Rhinolophus ferrumequinum: one gene and its partner. The protein of the gene in region 1 interacts with the protein of each later gene in a biochemical or structural test. Links are inferred from orthologs where the notes say so. Each region holds a gene or a part of one and is shown on either strand. Other genes may lie near its edges.

Evidence for each region.
Region 2: the proteins of IRF4 (region 1) and STAT6 form a complex in vitro, tested with the Homo sapiens proteins (2 studies listed by BioGRID). The link is inferred for Rhinolophus ferrumequinum from reciprocal best matches to the Homo sapiens genes IRF4 and STAT6.

The regions. Positions count from the first base shown.
Region 1 is NC_046292.1:93,936,867-93,944,288, reverse strand, and holds the start of IRF4 (interferon regulatory factor 4), read left to right. Parts: upstream 1-4,287; 5' UTR 4,288-4,348; intron 4,349-5,706; 5' UTR 5,707-5,771; coding exon 5,772-5,990; intron 5,991-7,422. UniProt on the Homo sapiens protein: Transcriptional activator. Binds to the interferon-stimulated response element (ISRE) of the MHC class I promoter. Binds the immunoglobulin lambda light chain enhancer, together with PU.1.
Region 2 is NC_046293.1:56,162,743-56,170,764, reverse strand, and holds the start of STAT6 (signal transducer and activator of transcription 6), read left to right. Parts: upstream 1-4,891; 5' UTR 4,892-5,181; intron 5,182-7,521; 5' UTR 7,522-7,576; intron 7,577-7,869; coding exon 7,870-8,006; intron 8,007-8,022. UniProt on the Homo sapiens protein: Carries out a dual function: signal transduction and activation of transcription. Involved in IL4/interleukin-4- and IL3/interleukin-3-mediated signaling.

The DNA of each region.
Region 1 (7,422 bases):
TTATAAGGAAACTTCTTAGAACAGTGGTGAGAAGAGACAAAAAGGGAACAGTTGTTTGTAAACAAAGGGAAAGGAGACAATGTAGCCTTAGTGTCTTTGATTTTGTTTTACCTAATTGATTAAAATGACAAGTCCAATTTCTTATAAGCCTGAAAGTGCATCATTCTTTGTGCCTAGGGAAAAGCTATGCATATAAGCTCTGCACTTTACAGAGTTCACAAACGAGTCCTGAACAGTCCATGTTCTGGGAATACTTAATGCTATATATAGCTCTGCAAAATTCTTTCATTGAAGAAACTCAGAGCACTTTGCAAATTAAATTAGGAATGTGTATGCAGCTCTGTAAGAAAACATCCAGGTTTGTGTGTCCTATTACAATTACCAAAGAATTTACCACTTTACAAAGAAAGTTCAACTCAATTGATTTAAATTTGGTGTGCAGTGATAACATTTAGCACATAATTGTATTTCCAGAGTATTCCATCTTACCTCCTCTGTATAAGTAGCTTTAAAGTTAAATTTTTTCAGAGGATTAAATATTCGAGTGTAGTGGCTGAGAACAGCACCCATTTCCTCCAGTTTCCTCAAAATGAATATAGCTTCATGAAGAAGAATGAAGTGAAGACCAGTGGTTAGTTCAGTGGCTTTATAACAATGCAGCTTTTCTTAGTCTGAATTTACCATAACCAAAAAGGCCACTAGTTGCCATTAATTGTTCTAAGTTGGAGCAGAAAAAATAAAATTGTTTAGGGTTGGAAGACAGTTCCATGGTTACCTGCTGCCAATCTTCGCTTCACAGACGAGAAGAATGCATCTCACCCCCGTTGACTTGACCAATAAGTGCCAGACTAGAGCTAAAGTGCCACCTCTAGGCTGACAGGCCTGCACTCGAGCTGATTCTGAAATATGAATGCAACAAGCCACCAAATTGATCAGAAGGTGTCCGTGGACAAGGCATTTTTACCTCAATGGACCTCTTTGAATCGCTTTCCCTATCGGTACAATGGGGCTGAATATAGTCTGCCCTGCCACCAGGCAGATTTCGTTGGGAGATCAAATGAAATAGTCTCTGAAACTTCCCTAAATATCGAAGCAGAACGTGATGATTATAATCGTACTTGTTGAACACTTAGGATGTGCCAGGCATTATGCTAAGCATCATTTCATTATCACAGCACAAAAGGAGGCAAAAAAGTCATTACCTTCATTGTCCATGGGAAGGTAAGATTTTGGTTAAATAATTCATCCAAGATCTCACAGATTTGAACAAGGTCTAGCTGACCCTCATACCCGAACATTTAATTATGAATAATGCCATAGAATAATAATACTATAATACAATACTATAATATTATATAATAATATAATACTATGTATATCATATATTACTATAGCATACTAATACTATACTAGTACTATATTACTATATTACTATGCTACTATAGTGTACAGTATAGTAATATATTGCATATTATTATACTATTACATAGTATGTTACTATTTATATAATAAAATAATAATACAAGAATAGTTTAATAACACTGTCGTATGAGATGCCATGATCGTGGTAATAAATAACATTTCACACATATACAACCAAAGAGCATTAGAGAAGATATTTATCCTATATGAACTATATCATATCAACAAAATGTTTTTAGTATTTTCCTAATTTTTAACAAGTAATTAAAAAGTGATTGCCCTTCATACTTTTTGAAGGATATAGTTTTCATTGGTTTTGATTAATCATGGCTCTCTCTCTTTTTAGAGAACGAATTAGTGAGAAAATAGTTTTACCTGAAACATGGTTTTATAATTTACTTTTTGTCTACTATGGGTTTTTCTAAAATATATTTTCTTGCATGTGAATGTATAATTTTAAAAGCTTTAGTTTTAAAATAATGAATTTAGGTAAATTCAGCTTTTCTTACAGTCTCTGTGATAAATGGGACTTGAAAATTGCAATACTCCATTCCGATTGAACTCCATCTACAACAGCACTGCAGCATCGGACAATTCACTGAAATAATCTCCTCACAGAATACCATGTCTTTGTTTTGGATAGACGTTCAATTAACTGACTTCCTATTTGTTTTCACTTTTTAACAACTTGTGACACTTGACAATAAATGTCTAGTCTTTTACTGATGAAAACTTTGATTTTCTCAAATGTGTGGCGACACGGTCAACTTTAGAAACTTGTCATTTTTGTTTCCACTATGACTACGGCGTAAAAGTCTGACGAGCACCCGGCAGTGCACACCAATTCCCTGCCTCCTTCTCCCCAGGGGTAATGAGGACGGAAAGGGTTTCAGTGATTACAAATGTTATTTTTTATAGTCACCTCATCATAAAAAAAATCACTTCTAGTAGATCAATAAGACAAATGAGTAAACCAGAAGATGGCGTTGAAGATTAGCAATCACATTTTAAAACAAGATAGACTGCTAAAGTCTCAAAAGTTTCATACAATGACTGTTGTTTTGAACTTCTAAAAGTAGATGAGTGAGGAAAATGTTGAAACTAAACCTGGTGCAGAGGACATGTGTACGAAAGTGTGAAAAGCTCTAGTTTGCTATTTTTGTCATTAGCAATCTCCTTCTGTCTATTGTTTGTGAACAATTTGGAGAAAAAAAACAATTCACTGATTAAAATGTAATGCAACATGAAGGCAGCATTCTTCGTTTTGTTTACTGAAGTATTCCAAGTTCCTAGAACAGTTCCTGTCAAGTAAAGTAGTAGGTGCTCAAAACACATTTGCTGAATGAATGAATCTGTGAAAGGACAAGAAAGGAAGAAGAGGTTATGACCAGAATTTTCTTTGAACAAAACCCTGTTGTTTATTGCATAGAATCTCATAATGGAAAACTTACTTGGTTGAATAAAAATATGGCATCCTGTTAATTTCTGAGAAAGTTCATTCGTTTTAGGAAAAGTGTACCTGATTTGTGTCTAACTGACTGTTTTTGCTTTAGCCTAAACTTAGTGTTTTCTTTGGGTAGGTGACACTGACCCATATGAGATTAAAAGAAAAACTGAGAAATAAGTGAAATCAAAAGCTTTACAAAAGTTGCGAGTTGACCTGGGGTGACGCTAGTCTAAAATCATATAGAAACCGGTGATCTGATGGTTTACCTGAAATTGCTAAATACATAAACATGCAGGGAGTATCCGAGATGCTCTGGTGAAAGTTTAGTGAGCAGGTGTTCAGGTAATTATTTTGATATTAAGGACATCTTGGGGAATTAAGTAACATTTCTGGTCTGCCTAAATATTCCTATTCTGGACATTTATATTCCACTAGTAAGCTGCTTCCTACCAGGATGAGGTTAAAACTACGTCATTCTAAAGTGAACTGAAGTCCAGAAGCAATTAAGTACTTGGATACTTCGGGATCCCTTCCCCAACTCTTTCATGTTGCTGCAATTGAAACTTTGGGGGCTACGCATTGTCTGAGTCACCTCAATTCACCAATTTAACAGATGCAAAAGTATGTAAGCATTTCAAACACATAAACAGTATTTGAACCAGTTTTATACCTCAAGGGATCTGGGCCATTTCCTCTTTTCTTTTTAATGAGTAGATAGATGCTGTCTAAACATTGCAGAGGGCAGGTTCATGAGGACGGCGATGGGGCCAAGGTTCCCCCACCCCCACACTGCAGTAAGGACAATTCCTCCGTCTTTGCTTCTGTGCTCTGCAAGCGAAGTCCCCTTCGCATCAGATTCCGGCTACTGCACGCCGCCCCTCCACCCCCACTTCCCGCGCTAACCACAGAGCAGTCGTTTTGTCGTATTAGTTATCGACTAGCCTCCCGCAGGTCCTGGCGCAGAAGCTAGGTCCCCATTTCGCGCCTTGCCTTTCGCAGGAAACCACCGCCAGTGAGGGTCGCGGAGGCCGAGCGCTCCCGACTCGAGGAACACTCGCCTGCGGCGGCACCAGCCGGGTGGCGGAGGATGCCGGATGCCGGAGTTCCCAGCCTGACCACCGCACACCGGCGGGTTCCTCGGAGCCCGCGCCCCGGGACTCGCCCGCGGGGCGCTCCACCCGCTGCTCGCAGCGAAACAGAGACAGTGAGAAAGTGAGAGAGACAGAAAAACAGACTGACTGAAGCACACTCATGGACGCTCTCAGAAAGAGACACATAGAGAGACATGTTGATCAAAGGAGGCCGGGGTGCCCTCCCCGCCCCCCGCGGGCACAACCCTCCCGGCCCCGCCCCGCCCCAGGCTCCGCCTCCAGCGCGGCTTTTAAGCTCTATAAAGTTCCTCTTTCCCACCTCGGTGTCTCAGTTTCACCGCTTGAACTTGGGACCCACCGCTGCCCTCAGCTCCGAGGCCCAGGCAAGGTAAGATCTGAGACCCCACAGGAGCACACATGTGAGGCTGGCAACACAGGGAACCCGGACGGCTAGACCAGCGGTCCCGAGGACCATCTCGAGGGCAGCGCAGGGACCCCAGCTTCAGAGCTGTGAGGGAGCACGCCCCTTGAGGGCGCCCGGACTCCCACCCCGTCTGTTCAGGGCCCGAAACCTTTGTGCGGGCTCTGTGGAGGGCCCGGGATCACAGCTCGAGCATCTCCACCGGCTTTCCCCGGCTCCGGTATCCCCACCACTCTGTGGGTCTGCCCAGTGCTCGCTGGGGGATGGGATGGGGGAGGCGCGAGAGGGCACGCGCTGGACCAGATGGGAGAATGGGGCTGTCAGGGCCTCAGGAGTGGCCGAGACGGGGCAGTCGAAGGGACTCACACTGGACCGCGGGCTTTCCCGCAGGGGACATCCGCTCACTCCCGAGGCTCCTTCTCGGGCTCCTGGTTCATAAGGGGCCCAAACTCACCGCCGCCGCTGGCGCGTGGCTCCCTGGCTGATGGTGGAGAAGGAGGAGCTCCAAATTTGGGGCACTCGGGGCCTGGGCTCTGCTGCCTCAACCCCAGCCCTCCGCGGTCCCACGCCCTCCCGGCACCCTCCCCTGTCTCAGCCCTCTCTCACGGGCCTCCAGGGTCCTGCTGAAGCTCGGCGCGCCGCACTCTCCCGCTACTTGGCTGCTGCGCTCCTCGCCAAGGGCCGGGTCTCTGCCGCTTATTGCTGCCACTTGATCCTTGCTAGCTGGTGCGGGCTCAGGGGTATTCTGGGGACAAAGACTGAGGGTGCGGGAGAGGATTTGCTGGGTGCTGAGCATCTGGGACGCCCCGACTGCAGACGAACCCACGTGAGATTGGCGCCCGGGGAGGCCACCAAGAGAGTGTGAATTGGGGAGTGGGCAAGAGTGGAAACTGACAGTGAAGGGGGAAACGGACTGGCAACAGCTTGGGGATGGGCAAAAAGGAGTGGGTGCTACGAATGAGTATGCAAACGGAGTGCCAAGAGTGGGGGCACTGTGGCTGGGTGTGGGAGTGCGCGCAAAGGCGACAGTTGTGAGTCTGGGCTGTGGGGTGCGTGGCAAAGGAGAGTCCAGAAAGTGGAGTAGGAAGATCCACTCCGCGCAGGGCACGCTCTCCCGAGGCGTCAGGATTGTGCGCGCCAAGAGATGAGCACCGCCCGCGGGGAAGGTGTCTCAGCTCAGGAACCTTGGATGACACAGACTCGGTAGCGCGCCTCGCTGCCTCGGAGACTCCGAGGCCTCGTGGTCCTTGCCAGAGCTGCCTGGGACAGGATGCCCCAAGCCCCGTGCCGCGGTGGCTCAAGGGCGGCCCTGCTGTCCCCCGCAGCGCAGAGCCAGTGAGTGCAGGAGGCGGGTCCTGGGCGCGAGAGAGCGGCAGTCGGCGCGCTGGGCATGAACCTGGAGGGCGGTGGCGGCCGAGGCGGAGAGTTCGGCATGAGCTCAGTCAGCTGCGGCAACGGGAAACTCCGCCAGTGGCTGATCGACCAGATCGACAGCGGCAAGTACCCCGGGCTGGTGTGGGAGAACGAGGAGAAGAGCATCTTCCGCATCCCCTGGAAGCACGCGGGCAAGCAGGACTACAACCGCGAGGAGGACGCCGCCCTCTTCAAGGTGACTCACACGTGGGGAGCCCGGGACTGGATTGGGGGAGGGCCCCAGAGACCCCGGCGGGGCCCGAACCGTGACCCGGCGTCCGGCCCAGTCCGCGCCCCGCGCCCGGCCATTCTCATAGGAAAGGGGACAGCACGGGACCGGCGGGATGGCGTGGGCCCAGCAGGGCGGGCTTCCCGGGAGCATCAGGGGGCCGTCAGCCGAAGCTATGGGAGAGTTTCCACTTCTCTCGTGATTTCACAAACGGAAGATCGAGTCCCGATCCTGAACGGGTGCCGTGAGCAGCACCCAGAGTCCGAAGTGCCCGTAGAGGGCGTCGGTCCCAGGACGCCGGCTTCAGTGTCCTTGGTTGCATTTCTGTGGGTTCCTCTGTTTCCATCGGAGCCTCTTTCCTTGCCTGTGGATCCTTCCCGGCCTCCTTTGATCAACATGTCTCTCGCTGTCTCTTTCTGTGAGCGTCCATGAGTGTGCTTCAGTCAGTCTGTTTTTCTGTCTCTCTCACTTTCTCACTGTCTCTGTTTTGCTATTTTTCTCTAGGGTTTTCTCTCTCTACATATACATATACATATACATATACATATACATATACATATACATATACATATACATATATATGTTTTAATATATATTTATATATATTTTATTTTTTTCCTTTGGTTCAGTCTCTTTTTGGTGTGCCTGCTCTCTTGCCCCAGCTCTCTTTGGGACCTTCCATCTGTATTTCTCCGGCTCTATTTCTCTGTCTCTGTCTGACTCCGTCTTTCCAAGTCTCTCTCTGGAAAATTTTCCTTCCTTCCTTCCTTCCTTCCTTCCTTCCTTCCTTCCTTCCTTCCTTCCTTCCTTCCACTTTTTCTTCCTTTCTTCCTTTCTCTCTCTCTCTCTCCCTCCCTCCTTCCCTTCTTCCCACCCACTCTTTTGGGTTTCTCTCTTTTTCTTTCTCCTCCTCTACCTCTCTCCCTCTTAGGATCTCTATTTTGAGCCTCTCTCCAGACCTTTCTCTCTTTTCCTGTGTGAGCCTGTCATGATTGTTTTCCCCTAAAGCAGTTTACCCAGTGACCGGTGCCCAGCCCCACCACCTGTGGGCAGGACAGGCAAAGGGGACTCCCTCAGGGATTTGCATTCAGAACACCTCAGACAGTCTGACAGCTCAGATGTACTCTGTGGGCAGCAGTTCATCCCACAGCCCGCTGCCTAGCTCCAAGCAAACCATTTCAGAAACTGGGTGGCAGGCCTTTGCCAGGGGTCCTCCACATCTTACCCACCTTTTACAGATACTCAGGGAATGTTTAAACCACTTCTCTTCAACGCAGCCATGATAGAGACCAAGGTGAGAGTATTTTACATAGAAGACACCTACTATATTTTTGGCCTACATTTTGAGCAGCAGATTAAATTTGAAGCACCTAAACACCATTATTTTCTTTAGAAATAC
Region 2 (8,022 bases), on another chromosome or scaffold:
GTTCCACACTGCAATTTCCTCATATGTAAAAATGAGGGCTATCAGCACTATCCAATAGAACTTTCTGTGATGATAGAAATATCCCATGTCTGTGCTAATATAGTAGCCATTGGCCATATGTGATTATCGTGCATTTGAAATGTGGCTCGTGCATCTGAGGAATTGAATTTTTAAATTAAAATTAAATAGCCACATATGGTTAGTAGCTACCATGTTAGATCCATAGTTCTATCTCATAGTATTGTTGCAGGATAAAATGTACAGGACTTAGATGTTTTTAAAGTAGGAATTGAAGTAACACATAAAGCCTCACTAGACGTTAGTTATTTTGCTGTCATCTACTGATGTCCTGGTCACTTGCCCACATTCCTTGAAGACTTTGACATCTGACTCACTGTCTCCCCGTGCACCCCAGGTCTTTTGCAAGCCAGATGGCTTCAATGTTCATGCAGGTACTCCAGCAGCACCCTGGCCTCTTGGTTCCTTGCCCTCCTCAACTCTGATGACTCACCTCCATGTTGCCACAGTCACTTACTCCAATAGCTACAACCTGTACCACACCCTGCCAGGAGAGCTGGACTGAAATCTCAGCCCCTTGTCTCTGAATACAACATTCCAGCCCCTAGCTTTTTCTCTCCCTCGCTCCCAAGAAGGCTGTTCGTTAGGCCTGTTGAGACTCCCAGTTCCTTAACTCTATTGTTTCTTTACGCATTGGCTCCTCATATCTTTACTTCTCCTCCTAACCAGACTTGATTCCATACTGCTTCACCTCTACTCCACCAAGTGGTCTCCTCCTCCATATGAACTGTTCTCCTGGCTTCAGACTTATACTTTAAGTCCATCCTCCATCCCTACTAAACATCATCATATTACTCACTTGCCCTAAATCCTCTAATGCTCCCCATTGCCAAACTACTACCTATATCCAGAGGTACCATGCTCCCACAGTATCCATGCTTTTGCACATGCTAGATCCTCTTCCTGGTTTAACGCTTCCCTTGTTCCTTGACTGAATAACTCTTATTTTTCCTTCAAGGTTCAGTTTGGGCATCACCTCCTCCAGGAAGACCTCCCTGATCTCCCCTATCCTCTACCTAGTTTAGGTTCCCCTCCTATATGCTTCCACGGTACCTTGTGCTTCACTAGAATGACAGCTCCCGTTATCCTGTAGTATCATTGTTAACTAATTGGATTCCCCCTCTCAGCTTTACGAGCCTGAGAACAGATATCCAACAAATTTTTGTTAAATTAACTGGGCATAGATTCTGGGCAGATTGGTTTTGTTTGCTTGCTACCAGTTTCATTTTGTTTTTTCAAAGATGGGAGGGATTTGAACATGTTTATATGCTGAGGGTAAAGAGTTATAATAATTAGAGAATGAGAGGTTGGAGATTTGGAGGATCCAGGGAACAATGAACAGAACAGTGCCTGGAGAAGCAGAAGGGAGGGGTCCTGAGCACAGGTGGAAGAACATACGTTGGGCAGGGGCAGGGACACAGACACCCTCTCTCTGAGCCTGAGGGAGGGCTCAGGTGATGATGAATATGTCTGTTGGTAGAGAGCAGGAAATTAGGAAGTTTCCAGCGGAGGGTCTCTCTTTAATCTAAGTGGTGAGCTAGTATTAAGATGGAAATCTGGGGACAATGGCAAAGGCCTGGGACACAGAACTGACTAGGGGTCCACCGCTGCTTCCTACACTTCTTCAGTGACCTTTTCCTTCTGTCCCTCAATCCTCCCCAAATCCCAGCCTGCTGCCCAGGGCTCCTGAACATGGCACCCACTCCTCTTGTCTGTGAAATGTACTGAACTCTTGCTATCAATCCATCACCAAGTTTAGTCCTTGTATAAGAGAGTGTATGTAAAACATTTAGCCCATTGCCAGATACACAGTAAACATTCAGTAAATGGTGGTCATTGTATTTACTAGCAAGAATGAATGTTGTCTTTTCTAGTTACACAGCAGTGTTTGCAGAATGATATGAGTCCCCGCCCTCCGGGAGCTTATGTTCTACTCAGAGAAGAAGGATATACCCATAAAATAATTAAAAAGCAATGCAAAGTGATTACATCCAAATGCGTTTTAAAAAATCTCAACCTGCACTAAAATGTATCTCTTACATCAAGACCTAGAACTCAGATACACATATAAAATTGAAACAAGTTTCATTAGACACTACCCATCCTTACTTTGTGTGATGCATACTGGTATTTTCTATTCTACTTGGTTTTAAAAAAGTGATGGTCAAGGTTCCCTATTACGGGTTGAAATGTGTCTCTTGAAAATTCACATATTATATATTGAATTCCTATGTCCCTCAAAAATTCATATTCATATGAGGTACCCCCAGTGCCTCCGGATATGACCTTGTTTGGAAATCGGGTCTTTACAGACGTAATCAAGTTAAAATGAGGTCATTAGGGTGTGCTCTAATCCAATCTGACTGGTGTCCTTAGAAAAAAAGAGGAAATTTGGAGACAGACCTGCATAGAGAGAACACCATATAAACATGAAGATGGTAGCTACAAACCAAGGAGAGAGGCCTGGAACAGATTCTCTTTCACAGCCCTCAGAAGGGACCTGCTCTGCCAATACCTTGATCTTGGACTTCTAGCCTCTAGAGCTGTGAGACAGTAAGTTTCTGTTGTTTAAGCCGTGCCGCTTGTGGTCCTCTGTTATGGCAGCCCTAGCAAACTAACACACTCACCAAATCGATTTTATGACTCAGTTGGCTTGCTGCAGTCCACAGACCCAAAAGTTCTTTTTTCCCATGTTTTCTCTCATGCAATCTTAATTGCCATTTGGTGGGATGGTAGGACCCAGAGGAGAGTGAAACAAGGAAAGCACTCATTCTCAGGATTGTGCAAGTAGGGGTGTCATGACTGAAAGTCTGGCCAACCCTGCAACTGCACGACCTGAAGATGAGTGCTTCCTTAAATTTTGCACCCTAGTCTAGGCTATGTAAAGAAGATGTAGTTATTGTCTCCATTTGAGGGTTTGACACAAAATGGAGTTAGACCCAAACCAGATTTTCCTCTAAATTCTGAGTTCTTTCCATGACATCACAGTGTCCCCACTGGTGCAATCAATTAGAGAGGATGACAAAAACTATTGTTTTCCTACTAGTATTTGTTCCTCATCTTCCTACCCCCAAAATGAAGCAAAGTTAGAGACTGCATTCACTCCTTCCCTCCTCTTGCCGAAGTTTGGGGGAACTTGGACCTTCTAAGACCCTTAGATGCTGGGACCTGAATTCAGCCACTGTCTGTGAATGTCTGCAGGCAGCATGAGCACCTGGGAGCACATGCAAACTGCATACACCGTGATCGATCCTAAGACAGATTCCCTGCTGGCCATCTCCACCCCTGCTCTCCCTCCTCTTCAATTCACTGCCTTTTAGACACAATAAACACATAAACACACATACCTCTAATAGGCTCTGTCTTTGTAGAGCTAATATCCCCGAACCCAGGGACCCCTACGTAGGATGGAAGCCCTGTTGCCTTCCTCATGTCTGGTTTATTCTGGGAAATCAAAATAGTGCCTAATGTTTAGTACCAGGCACTGTTCTAAGCCTTCATGTGTATTATCACATTTCACTCTCACAACCTTATTAGTTAAGACTATTATTTGTTCCATTTTACAGATGACAAAACTGAAGCACAGAGTAAATCACCCAGAGCTGTGCAGTTAGCAGTGTTGGCAGGATTTGAACCCAAACAGTTCTTAACTGGTACCCTGTTGACTGGCTGGGCCAGACACCCATGCACTCCTGAGCACACATGCCCGTCCACGTGGGGTGGGAGGGGAGGAGCTGGGGTCTGGGAATCAGTTCAGGCACCAGGGGGCAGCATAGGCCTAGCTTTGGCCCCTCAGCCCAGCCCTGTCAGGGTGAGAGCCGGGGTGGAAACCTCCTCCCACCTCCCAAGTTCCCCCAGAGCCCACCCTTTCCACACACCTTCTCTCAGGTTTGGGAGTGTGAAGGTCTCTCTGGGTCCCTTGGCCTCCTTCAGCTCCTCCTCTAGCAAAAGCTGCAGAAACCATCCACTAGTTATGATGGATGATGACTCAGAAGCTGAGCAAGCCTTGTGTACGTGTGTCTTCTTGTAACTGCATATGGCTCTGAGTGCTGACATGTCTATGAGCCTGCCCGCACGTGTGTAAGCATGTGTGTGTGTGTGTGTGTGTGTGTGTGTGTTCTTGTGGCCAGGAAAGTTGTGCATGTGTGTTCCTGGGTGTGTCTCACTCAGTGTTTACCCCAGAAACAGGAACTTCACTAAGGCTGTACAGCAGAGTCATAATCCAACTTGTCCCTGGGGAGTCTGCAGGCAGCAACTTCAGCTTGTGCCGGCTCCAACCGGGGTCTGAGGAATAGCAAGCACCCTGGGAGGAGGGGGCAGAGACGGTCAGTCTGAGGCACTCCTGGAGTCTTGCAGAATTCTGAGCTTGGGGACCCGCACTCCCTCCCCTCAGTGGTCACGCGACCTCTAAAGCTTTCTCTGCCAAGAAGGGAGGGGGACCTAGGCCTTAGGACGTCAAGCTTCCCGCTGCTTTTCAGGGTCCTCCACTGGAGGGAGCACAGAGCCCAAAGGGATTTGCTTTCCCAGAGGCCACGGGGAGCCCAGTCACTCCGGAGCCCAAATCCCAGGGGATCTTGCAAAAGTTTGAGTATGGGAGAGGCAGTATGGGGCGCATGTCTTTGCTTGATAATAGATGACTTTCTGGAGGAAAGTTTATCGCTTTTGAGAAAACAGAGTAAGTGGGGATCAGCCTCCCCTCCAGCCTGGCCCCAGGACCCTGAGCCCCGTCCTGGCTCCCCCGCCCGGCACAGGAGGCACATATCCTCACCCCACTTTCTTCCTCTTCCTCCTCCAGCCTACTTTCTCTTCTCTGTGTCGTCAGAGCTCCAGGGAGGGACCTGGGTAGACAGAGAAGCCGGAAACAGCGGGCTGGGGCAGCCACTGCTTACACTGAGGAGGAAGGACGGGAGAAGATTTTGTGTGTGTGTGTGTGTGAGTGTGTGTGTGTGTGTGTGTGTGTGTGTGTATTTTTTCTTTTTGGTGGTGATGGCGGAGGGCGGGTGCTCGCAGGGCCAGCCCTGAACTCGCTGGACAGAGCTACAGACCCATGGGGCCTGGCAGTGCCCGCTGAGAAAGGGAGAAGACAGCAGAGGGGTTACCAAGGTGAGGGGATGGTGCCGATGACGGGAGGGTCGGGGTCTCTGATTATCAGCGTATGGGAGGGTGAATTAATTAACGGGGTGGGGGGGCTCTCAGGATCCTTCCTTGGGCGGGGCGGATGGTCCCCAAGAAATTGTTTCAGCTGGTGTTGGTAGCTGGTGGTACCGGGTTTGGGCAGTTTCGAATCTCAGAGGAATCTGGGATGGGTACAGGCCCAGTGCTCACACCTCCCCCTCATGGGTCACTTTTTCCACACCCCTGCCTCCGGAACCTCCAAGGACAAGTAAAGACTGGTAAAAGAGGGCAAGCTGGTGACCCTCTGCCTGCTGAGTGCGTGTGGGGGGAAGTGGCTGCCCCTCCCTAGAAGGTTGATGCCAGAGGGCAGTGGGTCTTTGACAAACTCCTGTCTGGTTCCCCTATCCAGGTTCCTGTTCAGGAACTGGGGGATAAGTGATCCCCAGATATAGACCTCATGGTGCCCCAGAGGAGGGGGAATTTCCCCCTCAAAATTGCTTCTCGCTTGGCTGCTGTAGACGCCGAGATTTCCCAGCGGCGCGGCGTTAACCCTCCTCGTGCTGAACTGGCTCCGCCTCCCTGCACCCTCTCCCCGCCCCCACCGCCACAAATACACATTGGGCAACTCAGAGAAGCTCTTTTGACTTTTGATCCTGTGGTCCCACGGTCAGAGGACTCGGGAATGTAGTGGTTGAGGTGATCAGGTTTAGGTCACGAAGTGGGTGATGAGTACCCTGGACGTCGTGCTTTTCTTCCCAGTTGGGAAGGAAATCTTGGCCCCACCCCCTCATGTTGTGGCTCCTTCGTGTCCCTTCTAGTCTTTAGGGGCCTTTATGCAGGTGATGCTCCTGTTTTGGCGAGCCGATCGACCCAGCCTCGTTATTGGGTGGGGATGGGGGAAAGTGTGGCCTCCTGAGGTCTGAGGATGAAGTGGGGGAGGAGATTTGAAGCTAGGGCCGGGCCAGAAGGCTGGTCACTCAACACGGAGACATAGAAGAAAGGGGGGTTGCCGATGGCTTAAGGATCGCCTCAGTCCTCAATAGGGTTAGGGTAGAGGGTCAAAGGTCTGAGCATCAAGAGAAACAAGAGTGGAAGAGAGGAGAGAGGAACGGAGTCCTCCCTTGAATTTGAAACACAGACCAAAAGGTGCCTCCCCCCCAAAAAAAAGGGGTAGAGAAAGGCCTGTTGTATTGGAGGACCCTGAGCAGGAGTGGGGAGGATTCTGCTTTTGGGAGAAAAGAGCTGGGGTTGTGGTGCTGGGATTGGGGAGGAGGGGCAAGAGGATTCTAATGCTGGGAGAAAAGAGGGGGGAGGACTGGGGCTGGGGGAGTTGATCTTGAAGCAGGAGTCTCCAGAGAAAGGGATCCTCTGTTCTCCATCCTTTTGGAAGTCCTGGGAGACGGAAGAGGCTAAAAGCACAACAGGAGGATTTGGGGTTACTGGGTTCGGGGTTGCCCAGGGAGTTTCCAACCCCTTCCTCTCCCTCATCTCTGGGAGAGGGACATTATGAGAAACATGAACTGAGAGACCCCTGGGAAACCACTGGTTTACCCACCCCACCCTGCAACCCACCCAGAAATGGGGACACAACCCTCTCCCCTACTCCCATCTCCTCCTTTCCTCTCTCCCTCTTTTCTTCTCTGTCCTTGGCCTTTTAGCCAAGCCTCTAGCTTCCTCTCCCCCTCTTCTAGGCTCTTCACTCCAGGCTTAACTCCACTTTTTCTTCATTCTCTCTCACCTTCTTGCTGAGTTCTCTCTACTTTCCCCTTTGCTGGGTCACCCCTTCTTCGACTCTCCTCCCTCAGCACTCCTCGTAGGATGATGGGATTTGGATCTGGAAGGGATCCTAACAGTCCAATGTGGTGGTTAATCCCCATTCAGATTCAAATCTTGATTTCCAACTAGCTTGCTAAGTGGCCTTGGCAAGTTAGAGAACCCCCTTGAGACTCAGTTTCTTCATCTATGAAAGGGGTTAATTATATATTTTTAAAATTTTGTGAGGCTCTAATGAGCACTAACATAGAAAGTGCTTAGTAAACGGTAGCTATTATTGTCCTACATCCTCTTCTTCATCATCTAGCCGGCTAGTTTTCAAATTATCTCTTGGAGACTTGGAACTTTGAAGAGTTTCTCAGGGACACCTTTGGGGTCAGGAGGTGGGGAGAGGCAATTAGAAGAAGTAGCGTTCAAGGCCTACCATACTTGCCTTCAACAGAGAAACTGCAATTTTTATACCTTTTATATAATTGGGATTCCACAGATTAAAATTGTCTATTGCGTTAAAAAGTTTGGAAAGTTCTGCACTTATCCGAGCCTCATATTTTATAGATGAGAAGACTGAGGCCCACAGAGGGAGGTTCCTTGCCCACAGTACCAAAGCCAGGTCTACAGATGGAACCCTCGTCCCCTGCTTTCTCACACAGAGCTTTCCCTACTGCCCGATCTCACCTGTCTCCCCACCTCTCTGGCTGCAGCTCACCTCTTCCCACCCCTGTGTCTACCACTGAGGGATACCCTTGTCTCAGGCACTGACCAAAGATGTCCCTAGTTTGATGTGGTCTGGCTGTGAGTGGTGGGGGGTTGGTCTCTGGGAGGGCTGTCTACAGGAGGTCCCTCCCCCCCAGAACATAGGCCACCTTTTTTGGGCACTTCTCAGTGGCCTGTTCCTTTCTCCAGATGCCCTCGAAACACCAGGTCATGTCTCTGTGGGGGCTGGTCTCCCAGATGCCCCCAGAAAAATTGCAGCGGCTCTATGTCGACTTTCCCCATCACCTGCGGCATCTCCTGGGTGACTGGCTGGAGAACCAGCCCTGGTGAGTTCTGGTTGCC